Caenorhabditis elegans: one gene and its partners. The protein of the gene in region 3 purifies or fractionates together with the protein of the main gene of each other region. This does not show direct contact. Each region holds a gene or a part of one and is shown on either strand. Other genes may lie near its edges.

Evidence for each region.
Region 1: the proteins of ife-3 (region 3) and C44B9.2 purify together in Caenorhabditis elegans (affinity purification with mass spectrometry, with the first as the bait; one large-scale study listed by BioGRID). This does not show direct contact.
Region 2: the proteins of ife-3 (region 3) and F10E9.5 purify together in Caenorhabditis elegans (affinity purification with mass spectrometry, with the first as the bait; one large-scale study listed by BioGRID). This does not show direct contact.

The regions. Positions count from the first base shown.
Region 1 is NC_003281.10:10,873,379-10,879,172, forward strand, and holds C44B9.2 (Lgl_C domain-containing protein), read left to right. Parts: upstream 1-2,053; 5' UTR 2,054-2,080; coding exon 2,081-2,103; intron 2,104-2,158; coding exon 2,159-2,275; intron 2,276-3,039; coding exon 3,040-3,203; intron 3,204-3,256; coding exon 3,257-3,774; intron 3,775-3,829; coding exon 3,830-4,039; intron 4,040-4,507; coding exon 4,508-4,636; 3' UTR 4,637-4,864; downstream 4,865-5,794. Other genes in the region: vps-50 (Vps54_N domain-containing protein), read left to right, coding at 893-1,150; C44B9.3 (C2 domain-containing protein), read right to left, coding at 5,004-5,196, 5,249-5,565.
Region 2 is NC_003281.10:8,305,389-8,309,378, forward strand, and holds F10E9.5 (uncharacterized protein), read left to right. Parts: upstream 1-2,203; 5' UTR 2,204-2,269; coding exon 2,270-2,387; intron 2,388-2,430; coding exon 2,431-2,625; intron 2,626-2,681; coding exon 2,682-2,765; intron 2,766-2,818; coding exon 2,819-3,021; 3' UTR 3,022-3,060; downstream 3,061-3,990. Other genes in the region: mig-10 (Abnormal cell migration protein 10), read left to right, coding at 1-183; F10E9.7 (uncharacterized protein), read right to left, coding at 451-740, 793-898; F10E9.4 (uncharacterized protein), read left to right, coding at 3,162-3,505, 3,657-3,770, 3,862-3,977.
Region 3 is NC_003283.11:5,842-10,161, reverse strand, and holds ife-3 (Eukaryotic translation initiation factor 4E-3), read left to right. Parts: upstream 1-2,332; 5' UTR 2,333-2,343; coding exon 2,344-2,511; intron 2,512-2,552; coding exon 2,553-2,729; intron 2,730-2,768; coding exon 2,769-3,004; intron 3,005-3,051; coding exon 3,052-3,226; 3' UTR 3,227-3,574; downstream 3,575-4,320. Other genes in the region: B0348.10 (uncharacterized protein), read left to right, coding at 1,423-1,587; idpp-2 (Intrinsically Disordered Protein, expressed in Pharynx), read right to left, coding at 3,651-4,138, 4,196-4,320. UniProt on the Caenorhabditis elegans protein: Recognizes and binds the 7-methylguanosine-containing mRNA cap during an early step in the initiation of protein synthesis and facilitates ribosome binding by inducing the unwinding of the mRNAs secondary structures.

The sequences.
Region 1 (5,794 bases), on a different chromosome or scaffold from region 3:
CGGGAAATTGCCGGAATTGAAGACTTTCGGCAAATCGGCAAATCGACAAATCGCCGGAACTGAATACATCCGGGAAATTGCCGGAATTGAAAACTTCCGGCAAATCGACAAATTGCCGGAATTGAAAACTTCCGGCAAATCGGCAAATTGCCGGAATTGAATACATCCGACAAACCGGCAAATTGTCGGTATTAAAAACTTCCGGCAAATCGGCGAATTGTCGCAATTGAATACATCCGGCAAATCGGCAAATGGGCAAAATGTCGGAATTAAAAACTTCCGGCAAATAGGAAAATTGCCGGAATTGAAGACTTTCGGCAAAGCGGCGAGTTGTCGAAATTAAAAACTTCCGGCAAATCGGCGAATTGTCGGAATTGAACACATCCGGCAAATCGGCGAATTGTCGGAATTGAATACATCCGGCAAATCGGCAAATCGGCAAATTGTCGGAATGGTAAACTTGCGGCAAATCGGGAAATTTCCGAATTGAAGACTTTCGGCAAAGCGACAAATCGGCAAATTGCCGGAATTGAAGACTTTCGGCAAAGCGGCAAATCGGCAAATTGTCGGAATGGTAAACTTCCGGAAAATAGGAAAATAGCCGGAATTGAAGACTTTTGGCAAAGCGGCAAATCGGCAAATTGTCGGAATGGTAAACTACCGGCAAATCGGCAAATCGGCAAATTTCCGGAATCGAATACACCCGGCAAACCGGCAATTTTCCGGAATAGAAAACATCCGGCAAATTGCCGGAATTGAATACATCCGGCAAACCGGCAACTTGCCGAATTCTACGACAAAAAATTTGCCGAAGGGCAATTACCGCCCAAAAACTAGGAAAATATTATTGAAAAATCGTTTCGAGACCCGAAAAATTCCAGTATTTTTTCAGCTGGAGCCCCTCTGCGGAATCAAGCCAGTTCCTCACGCGAGTTTCGTCGATGGATACATCAAAGCCTATTATCTGCCGGAAAATGGTCTAGAACAGTGGATAAAGACGCATTCTGTACGGGGTTTTTCCAATTTAATAAATTATTTTCCCGAAATTTTGCAGGAATACTCATCAAAGCAGCTGTCTTCTCTACTCGGTGCCGCAGCTCACGTGAGCAAAAAAGCCCGACTTCGGATATTGGACGCTTTGAAAGACTAGAATTTTATGTAGAAATAGTTTGATATAATTGTATATTTTGTCACTAATTTATTAATTTATTTTGCATTTTTTTTCTTTTCAGAAAATTGAAATTTCGACAAAAATTGGGTTCTTTTCGCGATTGAAAATTTGAGAAAAATGGAAAATTTGAATCTGCGCCTTTAAAACTACCGTACCCACTGCCACAGTTTTAAAGGCGCATCCTGTTCCAGAAATCGCGACGAGACCCAATTTTTGCATTAATTATTGATTTGAAATCTTTTCATGTCATCATCTCTGTCCTCATAATCAATAAATTTTTAATACAACAAAAAACCCGATTTTTTATCACGGTCTCGACACGACAAATTTTTGCTCATTTAAAAAAGTGTGCACCTTTAAAGGGTACTGTAGTTTCAAACTCCTAGGAATTTTTATTGATTTTTCAAAGTTTTCCGATTAAATTATATTTATTTGATGAATTTAAAACATTATTATGAAAAAATAAACAGAAAAATGAAAGTTTGAAACTACAGTATCCTTTAAAGGCGCACACATTTTTGCAATAAACAAATCCATCGTGTCGAGACCTGGTACCGTATTTTGGCGCCTTTAAAACTACCGTACCCACGACCTCGTAAAATTTTCAGTAGGCATATTTTCGTGGTGAGACCCAAAATTTTCAAATTTTATTTCTAGAGTTTAAAGGGATAAATCGCGACGAGACCCAATTTTTGCGCAAAATTTTTATTTGAAAAACGAGATTTTTTTCAATTTTGAATTATTTTTTCCAAAAAAAAATAAAAGCACGTGAAGATTAATCCACAAAATTTAACAAAAAAAAAAGGTACGTGGCACGCCACGTGGCGAAACGTAACATAGTCCAACTCAGAGAATCAGAGACGAAAAAAAATCGGAAAATTCAGTACGACGAATCTCCGGCAAGCCAAAATGACGTTGCGAAACCAGAAAGGGTGAGTTGGAGCATTTTTTGATTGTGAGCTCTCTGCTGACAAATCCGTGTTTCAGAGATTCTGTGACGCCTCAACGACGTGCAACAGCTGCTCCGGGAGCTCCATCTCAACAACTCAAAATGGCGGAGAAAACGACGGCACCGTTCGCTGTGATGTCTGTGGAACTTCCGCCGTTAGTTTTTTTTTCGGATTTTTTTAAGAGGAAATCCCAGAAAATTGTGAAGAAATTTCACTTTATGCTAGTAAAATCTGGAAATTTTCTTCAAAATCTGGCTGGAATACAGGTTTTGCCACGTGGCCGCGAAATGAGAAAGTTCGGCCACCGATTACTTTTTTCGCGGCCACGTTTTCGCTCTCAGATTTTTCACCATTTGTGAAAAGAAAACCCCGAAAAATTGGCTTTTTCATAGCGAAATAACTGGAAAATTTTAGAAAAAGCCAGGAATCCACGTGGAAATCTAAATTTTTGGAGTTTTTGTATAGGCTGCCACGTGGCCGTGAAATGCGGAACCTAGGCCATCCCTGCACAAATGGATGAAAAATCGGCTTTATCGAAAAATTAAAGAAATTACAGTTATAGAAAAAAGTGTAAATCTGGAAATTTTAAGAAAACTAGGCCACCGATAACTTTTTCGCGGCCACGTTATTTTTTTCCGGAAGGGCATTCAGGTATTGCTGCATGGCCGTGAAATGCGAAAACTAGGCCACGCAGCGAATTCTGAAAAAATGCACCTCAGATCCTGGAAAACAGAGTGATGGCCGTCATAAATTGGGTTTCTCGGCCATATTTTTGAAATTTTGCTCATAAAACTTCCAAATTCGGCGAAATGCGATTTTTTCAAGACATTTCGCAAATTTTCTGGAATTTTTAAAGCAAAATTCCGCTCAGACTACTTAAAACCACCAATTTTTTTTCAAAATTTCCAAAATTTGCAGAGGTCTTCCACGAGTCAACAACTCGGTATTCGATGACTTATCGCCACCAGCTCACATTCCATTCAGTGGATGGAAACAGTCAAGTGGAAGCAACAACAGTGGAAAGAAGAATCAGAGAAAGTCGACACCTCGGAAACAGGAAAATTCTTCTGCTTCTAGGCAAGGTGAGTAGTTTGTAGTCTTCTAGTAGATCAAAAGTAACCTTAAAATTGTTCAGGAACTATTCCGAATCCAAATCTAAAGTTCTTCCAACTGGTCAGCCCATTGCCATTTGCAACCAATTCAGTCCCAATTAGAGGAATCAAGACAGATCAGGGTGTTGTCAAGTATCCACTGCTCCTTTGCTCCCAGGAAGGAACTGTGATGGTATCCATGGCCGCCGGAATAATCGTCGAACTGTGTATGGATCGCAGTTTTCGTGTCGTCTGCAACACGGATTTCATGGCCTACATCAACTCGAATGGTGCCGTCTGCAGTTTTCTTCACAAATATGCAAAGATTGTGCATCAAAAGGAGCATGTTCACTGCAAATTCCTGAATACAAATGATCGAATGGCTGTGATGGGACCAGAAGGAATTCTATTCAGTATGGACTCACTCACAGAAGCCTATCTTTTGAGTGGAGCCAAAGAATCTGGACCTTCGGCGGTGGTTCTTGAGAAACCAGAGTTTCCGATCATGAATATGGATTATACCATTCAACAAATGTATGGAGAATCTGATCTTGGAGCAAGTGTAAGTTAAAATTAAAGCATTCTTTCAACTTGAATTAAATTCTTTTTTCTTTCAGAATATGGAAAAGTGCGAAGCTGTAATGCAGCAAGCTCAATACGAAAAGCACCCGGATGGACTCCTCACTGTGCATATCAACGGGATGCTTCTCAAGTACAACACTCAATCGGGAGAGGTGAATGTGGAGGCAAAACCAGTGAAGCTTACCGTCAATGCGACAACTCTCACGGCTCAGCTCAGAAGCGCTTTTATTGATATGGCTATTCAGGTAAGAAATTGATTTAATTAAGAAAAAAAATATATACGGTCAAAAAGTTTTCAAATTTTAATGAAAATCTAGTTTTTTGCTGTAATTTGCCTGAATCTGTTCGAAACCCAATTTTTTGTGCAGTTTTGGGTTCAAACTAGCACTGGGCTTAGAATTTTTGCTGAAAGTTGATGAAAAATTATTAATTTCGACAAAAATCGGATTTAAAATCGAAAAATTATGTGAAAAACGAGAAAATCGAAGAAAAACATTTGAAAACAATTAACAAAAATGTTTGGCGGGCTACGGTAGTTTTAAAGGCGCATGGCCGGGGATGAGCAACTTCCTTATGAGACCCGACTGCAAATATTCCGCTGTGCGCCTTTAAGATTACCGTAGCCAGCTTTTTTTTGCAATTTTTTTGACAGAAAATCAATAAAATCGAAAAAAAAAGTTAAAATAAACCGAAAAAAATAAATTTTCTTTCAGGACAAGGACAAATGCTACGTGAAGCGAGGCGAGAAACGAATTCACACATCCCGCTCGGGTATGGTGATCTCCGACGGCACCTGTACAATTTCCATGGACCAATTCGGCTGCATTCTTTCATGTTCATAAGTAACTCCCCGTCTGTTTTATTCCTAATATTTTTATTGTTTTATTATTTCCCAAGTTCCCCCCCCCCCCCCCCCCAGTATTATTAATTCCCTTAAGTTCTCCATTGAGACTCCAGCATACACCTAACTTTTATCCCATTATTCCTCGAATCATTGGGCCAAGAAAACCGCTACTGAGCCGGTAATTTATTTATTACATAAATCATAAAAAATAAAAATTTTAGTTTAATTTACGATGAACATACATCAAATGAGCAGTATTATATCACAAGAAGAATACAAATTAGAGATCTGATTAAATTTTGTGGCAAAAAAAATTAGAATTTTATGAAAACTGTTGGGAGAAATTTTAAAAAATTAAAAAATTATTATAGTGACGCATTTCCGGAATCACTTGATTCGTCGTCCTCCCGATGTGTAACTTTATAGACACATGTCGTCTCTCTTGGTGGATTATATGTTGAATCAATATTAAATGGTTGGAATGATGACCATGGTTCACATCCGTATTCTGTCCAACGTTCTGATGATGATTTTGTGGTGAAGAGGCCCGTGTCGCTACTGAAAATTGATTTTTTTCGATTTTTGAATCTAAATATGTGAATTTCCTTACCTCCTCCCGCCAAGTACAGTACTATTTGCCTGTGGCAATGGCATATCAAAGAACTCAGGCTTCTTTCGATCACTAATATACACACAGAGGAGTACGGTAGTCGATGTGAGAGCCAGCAAAGAGAAAAACGCAAGAATGAGCATTCCGATGAGCAATGAGGTGTTGTTCGAAGTTCCGAAAAATGGAGAAAACGTGGTGGATGGTGGTGCTGGGGTTACTGTAGTTGTAGTAGTTGTTTGTGAATCATCTACACACCATGGGCATACTGTATTGGATGCTTGAACTTTGACGGTTGACATGAAGCATTGACCTTGGATCTGGAAATTTTGGGGATTTTGGAACAAAATTAGACTTAAAATTCAATTTTTAATGGGGTTTTTAGCAAGAAGGTTCGAAATAAAATAAAAATATTCAATTAAATATCAAAATCTTGTTTTTCTATTCGAATTTTTGTGAATTTTGCAAAAAAAAGGCGGAAAAACCGTGCCATTATTTTTTTGGAATATTTTGAAATATTTCATTTTTTCAGCTAAAATCTGATTTTTT
Region 2 (3,990 bases), on a different chromosome or scaffold from region 3:
CCGCCACCAGTGACTCCACCAAAGCCTTGTACTCCATTAACTTCTAAGAAAGCACCTCCACCGCCTCCGAAGAGATCTGACACAACAAAATTGCAATCAGCTTCACCTATGGCCCCGGCGAAAAATGATTTGGAAGCTGCGTTGGCGAGAAGGCGTGAGAAAATGGCAACCATGGAGTGTTAGACAACATTTAGAATACTGGATATTTCATACTCTTTCAAAAATTCTTGTTATTACCGGTGTGCTGGAACCTGAACCTGAAAATTCTTTACATGAACAATTTTTTGTAACTCTCTTTACTACAAACTTCCACCCACCAACTCACATCGCCTTGACACACTTTTACAGAGAAATGCCTTTATTTATTACACTGATAATGTCATGTTATTCTTGAAAATGTTTTTTGTTTGAAAATTAATAAAAAAAATTTGAGCATTGCATTTTTGAAAGTCAATTGTTAAAGTTGATAGAAATCGTTCGAGTTGGGGTATACTTTTCACATTGAATCGAACTGGCTTCAAGCATCTCGAGAATTTTTAATTCTTTTGTTGTTGTCGGCGAGTTCCAGTGCCAAATTTTCGATATTTTCAAATTCAAAATCTTCTCCAAACAGTGACTACAATCGGGAAAACTTGAGGTGTATATGATACAATCCATTCCGTTGTGGGATTTATTTTCCAATTTTTGAAGTGCAACTGATATTCCACAGTTGCATACATTGGAATTTGACGGAAGAAGCTCTGCAATAACATGAATTAATATTATTTAAACATTTTTATAATTCTACAGTACCTCCTGCGTATCCAGACACAATTTGGTAGTGTTCTTGATCTACGATGTAGCATCCATCGGGTCGTTTTACTGTACTCATTTCACTCAGCATTCTTGCCATATACATGTGATGTTGATGCCATGTTATATAATCGAGTCGTTTACCGGTTGGACCGAGGTTTGATTCCAAATTGGCCTGTAAATTTGAAGAAAAATTTGAATTTGAAATTTGAAGAATTAGAATCAGATCGATAATGTCTTGAAATTCATTTAGGGAACGATTTTTGTTTTTTGATTATGTGTTCAAATATTGATTGAATTTTTCAAAATAATATCTATATTTGTTTTCTTGGGCATAATTATGCAACTTTTTTCGAACGAGGACCGAGAAAAAATGCGAAAAATCGGTGTTTGCACACAATACACCGCATTTTACGACATTTTGTACTTGCTTTGTTTTCTTGTGTTTTTCACCGATTTTTCCCGTGATTTCTTATTAAAACTGATAAATAAATATTTTTGTTAATGCTAAAATAATTTCCAGATGAAAAAATTGTGAATTCAGTCGGCAAGTAGCGGTAAAAGTGGTCAATGTAATATGATGGATTACGGGAATAAAAAACCCAAACTTTTTCCCAAACATGACACATATGCTGTTTAGATGCTAAAAGTACCTGATTATCATAACGAGACCGCTGAAAAAGTTTTGAGATTTTCAAAATTCAACTTTTTTTGTGAAAAAGTCGAGATTTTGGCACAAAATGTTGAATTATGAAAATCTCAAAACTTTTTCAGCGGTCTCGTTATGAAAATCAGGTACTTTTAGCATCCAAACAGCATATGTATCATGTTTGGGAAAAAGTTTGGGTTTTTTATTCCCGTAATCCATCATATTACAGTGACCACTTTTACCGCTACTTGCCGACTGAATTCACAATTTTTTCACTTGGAAATTGTTTTAGCATCTGCAAAAAATATTTATTTATTAGTTTTGATAAGAAAAAACGGAAAAAATCGGTGAAAAACGAAAGAAAACACGCAGAAAACAAAGCAAGATAAATGGCCGCTGAAATTTGTCGGGGACTCGGTCATGGCCTAGAAACCTTTTTGCCTCGTCCCTCGTTCGAAAAAAGTTGCAGCATAAAGGAAAAATAAAAGTCGAGTGAAACAATTTCTAATAAATAATACAACAAATATATAATTACCTCTGCAGAAACACTCGGCAACTCGTATCTCACTGTCGGCGACTCAACATTTGACATTTTATGTGTAATCTGAAAAATTAATTTCAAAATAAATATTGAAGAGAAAATGTTTTAACTTATAATTTTAAATCGTAAAAAACTCCGCCATTTTTCTCACACAACGACGCTCCGAAATAACGCGGCCGAATTTTTGTGAAACTTCGGCCACGTTTTGTGTAATCCTCTCGGGAAATAAATATTGTTAATTTCTTTTCGAAAAAAACTTATTTATTTAATACTTTTAATTATTTAAAATGAATAATTTTCTGAAACACAATGATTGGGCAAGAGATCCTGCATTCAATCATTTCTGGAGACACTATGACTTTTCGAATCAATGGATAAAGCAACATACAGATGCATCACGTCAAGGTAATTGGTTAGCTTCTGTTCTTAAAATGTTGTATATTTTCAGTTCAAATGCAAATGGTCCAGAGAGATAATCTTTCGACTGAACAATGTTTTAGTGACTCTGAAGAGCCGGAAGTGATCGAAAGACTTTCTCGGTGTGAAATATATAGTGAAATTGAGAATGAAGAATCAGATATTGAAGAAATGAGTGAAGAGATGAAAGCATTTTTTGCAAAAACACAAGAACATCGTCAAAAGTGTAAGTTTAATCGGAATTAGACGAATATTTGTTTTAAATAACTTTGTTTATTTCAGTAAAAGAACAAAGAGCGGCAGAAAAACGGAAAGAAGGGCAATCAAGTTCAAAAAGTCAAGAGGAATACGTTAACGTTGATAAAAGTAAGAAAATTGGTTTATTTAACGGTTTGATAAATTTTAATGGGCATTTTTAGTTAGTATACGTGGGCGTATAGAGCAATCAACGGATCACCGAAACGCCAGCGCCGAATTCATAGCAAAAAGAGAGAAAGCGAAAAAAGATTACGGAGAATCAGCGACAAAGATTCTAGCAATGGAAAGTACATTGGCAATGAAGTTTGAATCCGAATATTCACAAAATCCTCAGCTCTGGCCTAATATTCCATTCAGATTTTGACTATTCTTTATATGAAGCTAAAAGCATTTTTCGTGTCTACTGTATTTGTTTTTATGCACTGGTTTTCGAGCCGAAAATGTTTACCTGTTTCGTTAATTATTTCATATCAAATGTTTACCAATCTTTACAGAATTGTAAAAATGGGAAAGAAAAAGTTTATCGAGAACGAGGATGGAACTACAGAAGTCCAGGAAACAGAAAGTGAAGCACCAAAGGATAAAAAGGAGAAGAAAGAATATCGATTGAGAACTCTTGGAGCAAACATTAAAACATCAAAGAAAAGTTTCAAAGAACAATTTTTCATGAATTATGAAGATGGACTCAAACTAATCAAAAAGATGCGCGGAAAGGGAAAAGGAGGTCAACTCGTTCAAAAAGTGATGCCACGTCATATCTCCTTACCTTATCACATGTCTGGAAAAGCTGCAATGGAAGAAGCATGTGATTGGATTGCTCAAAATACTGTCGGAAAGTATAGAAAAGAGTAAGTTGATGAGTTAAAATATACAAAGAGTGTTAATTTTTAATTTTTATTCGTTATTCTCAAGAAAAACATTTTTTTGTATAATGATATGAATGCTGAAAACTGAATAACGATTTTATAATTCACAACGAATATTTATTTTTGATTTCAGATACAAAGGAATCGTCGTAGCCGTTGGAAGTGTCGATCTTGCATCTGCGCCACGTGTCATTTCCGACCAATATGCTTTCCATACCGATGTTGCAATTAATCAAATTGTTTTCATGTAAGATTTTGAATTTTCATAGGGAATTCATTTATTTTTAGACTATCAAAAATGATTCTCGTAATTTCAATAGTTTTGAATTAATTTCCAGCCCAAAAATCGGAGATCAATACGAAGCAAAAGTGAAATATGTGCAAGAAGGTCTTATGGTCGGTGTTGTCATGGATATGATCACAATTCACATTAAGCAGAATGACAAGACTTCAGGTAAATGAAAATT
Region 3 (4,320 bases):
TAAGTTTTAAAGTGTTCAAATAATTGATAAAACAATAGAAAAGTATGTATTTTGCACGATTTAGACAGTTTCAAGTCAAATTTTTGACGATAAATTATCAATTTTACAAAGCTATTGGATCTTCGAAAATTAGTCTTGCAGCCTCTAATAGTCTTGCAGTCTCTATTAGTCTTGCACCCCTACGGGTCAATTGAAAATTAGTCTTGCATGCAAGACTAATAGAGGGAATACGGTATTTTCGTTGTTTTTATTGAATTTTACGTCGAAAAAAGTATTAAGAACTTAAAAATTAAAAAAAAAACTAGTTTTCGTTTTTTGGAGCGTTTTCAATAGCTCGTGGAGCGCGATTTCACCAGAGATCTTTTTACAGCGTTTCCATATAACGTGGAATTCCTCATTGTTATGCGAACAATTTAAGACGCTTAAATAGGAAATGATAACATAATTATTTTGTCGAAATATATAAGAAGAGTCTGAAAAAATTGAGCTTCCGACTCTTTTTTGCCGCAAAAAAAGTTTACTTTTTTCCAGTAAACTTTTTGTGCCGCACACCTCTATTCTGCAAACAAACTATAGAATTTCAAATGCTGTGGGCTTCGCGTGTGTGAGTGGAAATGAAAATAAATAAATACATACTAAAAAGTGATAATCACATCAAAATTTAGTTCCTACCGCTGCGACACTGAGAAGTTGTCAAAATTTAAGATTTTAGCTGAAAATATACCATTTTCCGAGCGGTCATAACTTTTTTTTTTGAGAAATTTTCAGAACATCTCATTACGAAATTAGTTTTGGAACATTTTGGGTCCCAAAAAGCCAAGTCTCGAATTTCGGTGATCCTCCTTTAAGTCTGTGGAACTACTGAAAACTAGCAAAAAACGATGATTGTTAGGAGAATAATGCGGCTACGAAAATGTTGTGTGTATGTGTGTGTGGGGGCGTGGCGCTCTCCGAAGACTTTACGTGGACGACGTGGTAATTATGACGGTCAGAAGGCGGACAAGAGTGCGAGAGACGCAGAGAAGAGAAGCCCAACAGCCGTCGCCGAAAAAATAGACAAAGTATTCGTGACTATGGCTCACCGCCAACACTCTAAAACGGGAAAATCGATGTGGTGGAGAGGAGGAGGAGACGGAGGAGAGAGAGAAATACAGCGAAAGAAGTCGTCGTCGGAGGGCCCCCGACGTCGTCTGACGGCGGGGTGTCAGACGCAGTAGGTTAGACGAATGGCGCCTCGGGGCAACGCTTGCTGCGTCTCTGCGATTCGGAGAACTGTCTGGCCACCTTTTTACGGGACGATGGGCAGGGAAAACAAGGCAAAGTGAGAGAGAGAGAGAGAGATATGTGCGACGAGTTGAGGCACACAGAGAGGGAAAAGGCGCCCAGCGGCAGCAGCAGCAACACCCAGACCGATATATTTATATGTGCATGTTGTGGAGGCTGCTGCTGTATGTGTCTGTGTGTATGCTCACAAGAGCTCGAGACACCGGGACGGCTCATGAATTCCTGACGACGACGGCGACGCTGAATGCGGCAGAAGGAGAAAAGAAAACGGAGACGCACTCGTGGATAAATTGGAGAAATTGAGAACCACAGGCTGTAAACAATGCACATTTTTTGGGAAAACTCAGATTATCGACTGCAATCTGGAAAATAAATTTTTGAATTTTAAACCTGAAAATATAATTTTTTAGCCTGAATTCCCTGAAAGAGCTCAATTTCTGTGCGAATAACGAGTTTTCAGCGATTAATTTCATTATTTTACCGAATTTTCAATAAAATTTGAAAAATTTTACCTAAACAACTCGATTTTTATTTTAATACAAAAATAATTTTCATATTTTCCGCTGTTTTGTTTAAAGGGGGGCGCAATTCCGCAGACAAGATACTTCGCAACGACAAAAACTACGGTTACACTCGTTTTGCGTGTGTCTGGTGTTTGAATTTCAGGATTCGCGCCTTTCTTTCCATTTCTTCATTTTCCAAGGTTTTTCGGGGAAATCGCTCTTTTTTTTTTCACTTTTACGATTAAAAAACAGCTAGAATGTTTAAAAACTACTAGGAATTTCATGGGAAACGAATCATTTGATGATTTTTCGTCGAAGTTGAGCTGAATTCATTTTCTACTTTGTTTTATTGTTTTCCAAGCTTTAATATCAATTTATTGTGCCCGATGTTACCAATTACACTTGAAAAATCTAAAAAGCTTGGAAACTAGCCGAAAATGTGCAGTAAAACAAAATTTCCTATAAAATCCGAGTTATTTGAACCAAATTCATACTCTTCTCTATTTTATCGTTTTCCGAGCTCTAATCGTATATAATATTACCTATTTTCAGCTAAATGAGCACATCCGTAGCGGAAAACAAAGCATTGTCAGCTTCCGGCGATGTGAATGCGTCCGATGCTTCAGTTCCTCCAGAGCTTCTCACCAGACACCCCCTCCAGAATCGCTGGGCTCTCTGGTACTTGAAAGCTGACCGTAACAAGGAATGGGAGGATTGTCTGAAGGTAGAAGATTTTTAAATACGTCTTTTATCGATTTTTTCCAGATGGTTTCACTTTTCGACACTGTCGAGGACTTCTGGTCGCTGTACAATCACATTCAGTCTGCCGGAGGATTGAACTGGGGATCCGATTATTACTTGTTCAAGGAAGGAATCAAGCCAATGTGGGAGGACGTCAACAACGTTCAAGGTGGACGTTGGTTGGTTGTTGTCGATAAGCAAGTACGTTTTGAGAAATATATTTTATTCAATGAATCATAGAAGCTTCAGAGAAGAACGCAATTGCTCGATCACTACTGGTTGGAGCTGTTGATGGCTATTGTTGGAGAGCAATTCGACGAGTACGGAGACTACATCTGCGGAGCTGTCGTGAATGTTCGTCAAAAGGGTGACAAGGTTTCCTTGTGGACTCGTGATGCTACTCGCGATGATGTCAATCTTCGCATCGGACAGGTTTTGAAGCAGAAATTGAGCATTCCGGATACTGAGATTTTGAGGTAATTTTACAATTTTAGTATTTGCTATCTAAGTAAAATATTTCCAGATACGAAGTTCACAAGGACTCGTCGGCTCGCACCTCATCGACTGTCAAGCCACGCATATGTCTTCCAGCCAAGGATCCAGCACCAGTGAAGGAAAAGGGACCAGCCGCAACGACTTCTCCATCGAATCCCGGCACGGAGGCTACAGGAACTTCTCCAGCCACCCCAACTCCTTAAGCATATTCTAAAGATCTCACCAATTCCTCTCACCGTAAATGAGCTTCCCCGTACTCCCAGTCTCAATGTTGTCTTGAAAAATGAACTGTTTTTCGGACACGATCATCGCTTTAACTATTCGAAAATCAGCTCATTTTTCAAGTCGTACCCCCCACCTAATGTATTGGTGCTTCCCCTCCAATTTGTACCTACTGTTTCGCTTCCCCCTATTGATTTACCGGTTTTCGTATTGCTCTCTTGTTGTTACTAGATTCGAGACTGATCGACGCCTGTAGCCGAATTCGTTTGTTCTTCAGGTTAATTGATGAATATATATTTATTCGGTAAATATAAATAGATATGTTAGTTATTATTCTTCTTCACACACATGATTTGTAGGGCGTTTGATTTTGTACATTTTTAAAAATTGATTCTATTCTTGTTTTCAGGCAGACTTCTCCGATGTCTTTACAGTTTTTGCAGGCTTTGCCGTAGTCGATGTGTTCGAGCTAGACGAAGGAGCTGCGGCAACAGTCTTCTTGGTTGGCTTCCTAGCTTTCCGAGGTTTCCGTGTGCTCGTCGTGCTCGGCGAGCCGGTAGTGGTCTTTTTGTTTGCTTTGGCCGCATCGTCGTGTTGATAGGAATCAACATCCCGCGACATAATTCCCATCGGAGAGCCAATTCCTCGGTTCCAGTGATTCGAAGCAATGTTCATGTTGTAATCTATGGGAATTCCTCCTCCACGTGATGGGATCTGTGGTCCACTGCCGCCATAAAGCATACGCTCAAGTTGGGAATCATGGCTTCCGAATCGTTCGCGAAGATATGCGGGACCATAGCGTGACGCATAGGTGGCAAGCTCGCGAAGTGATGGGATCGCGGAATTTGTAGCTCCATTGAAACTGTTCATCAGGTCGTTAGATGCGTAATCAGCTGGAAAATAGCGGATTTTAAAGAATTTTATAGCGCATAGAAAAATCGTATACTTACGTGGATACTCAGTCTGTGGAATTTTCGTCTTCCTGGAGCTCATAGGCGGCACAACGGCACCCCGTCTCATACCAACAGTGCTCCCGTAGTACCCAGATCGACTTCCTCCGACCAGTCCGGAAAAT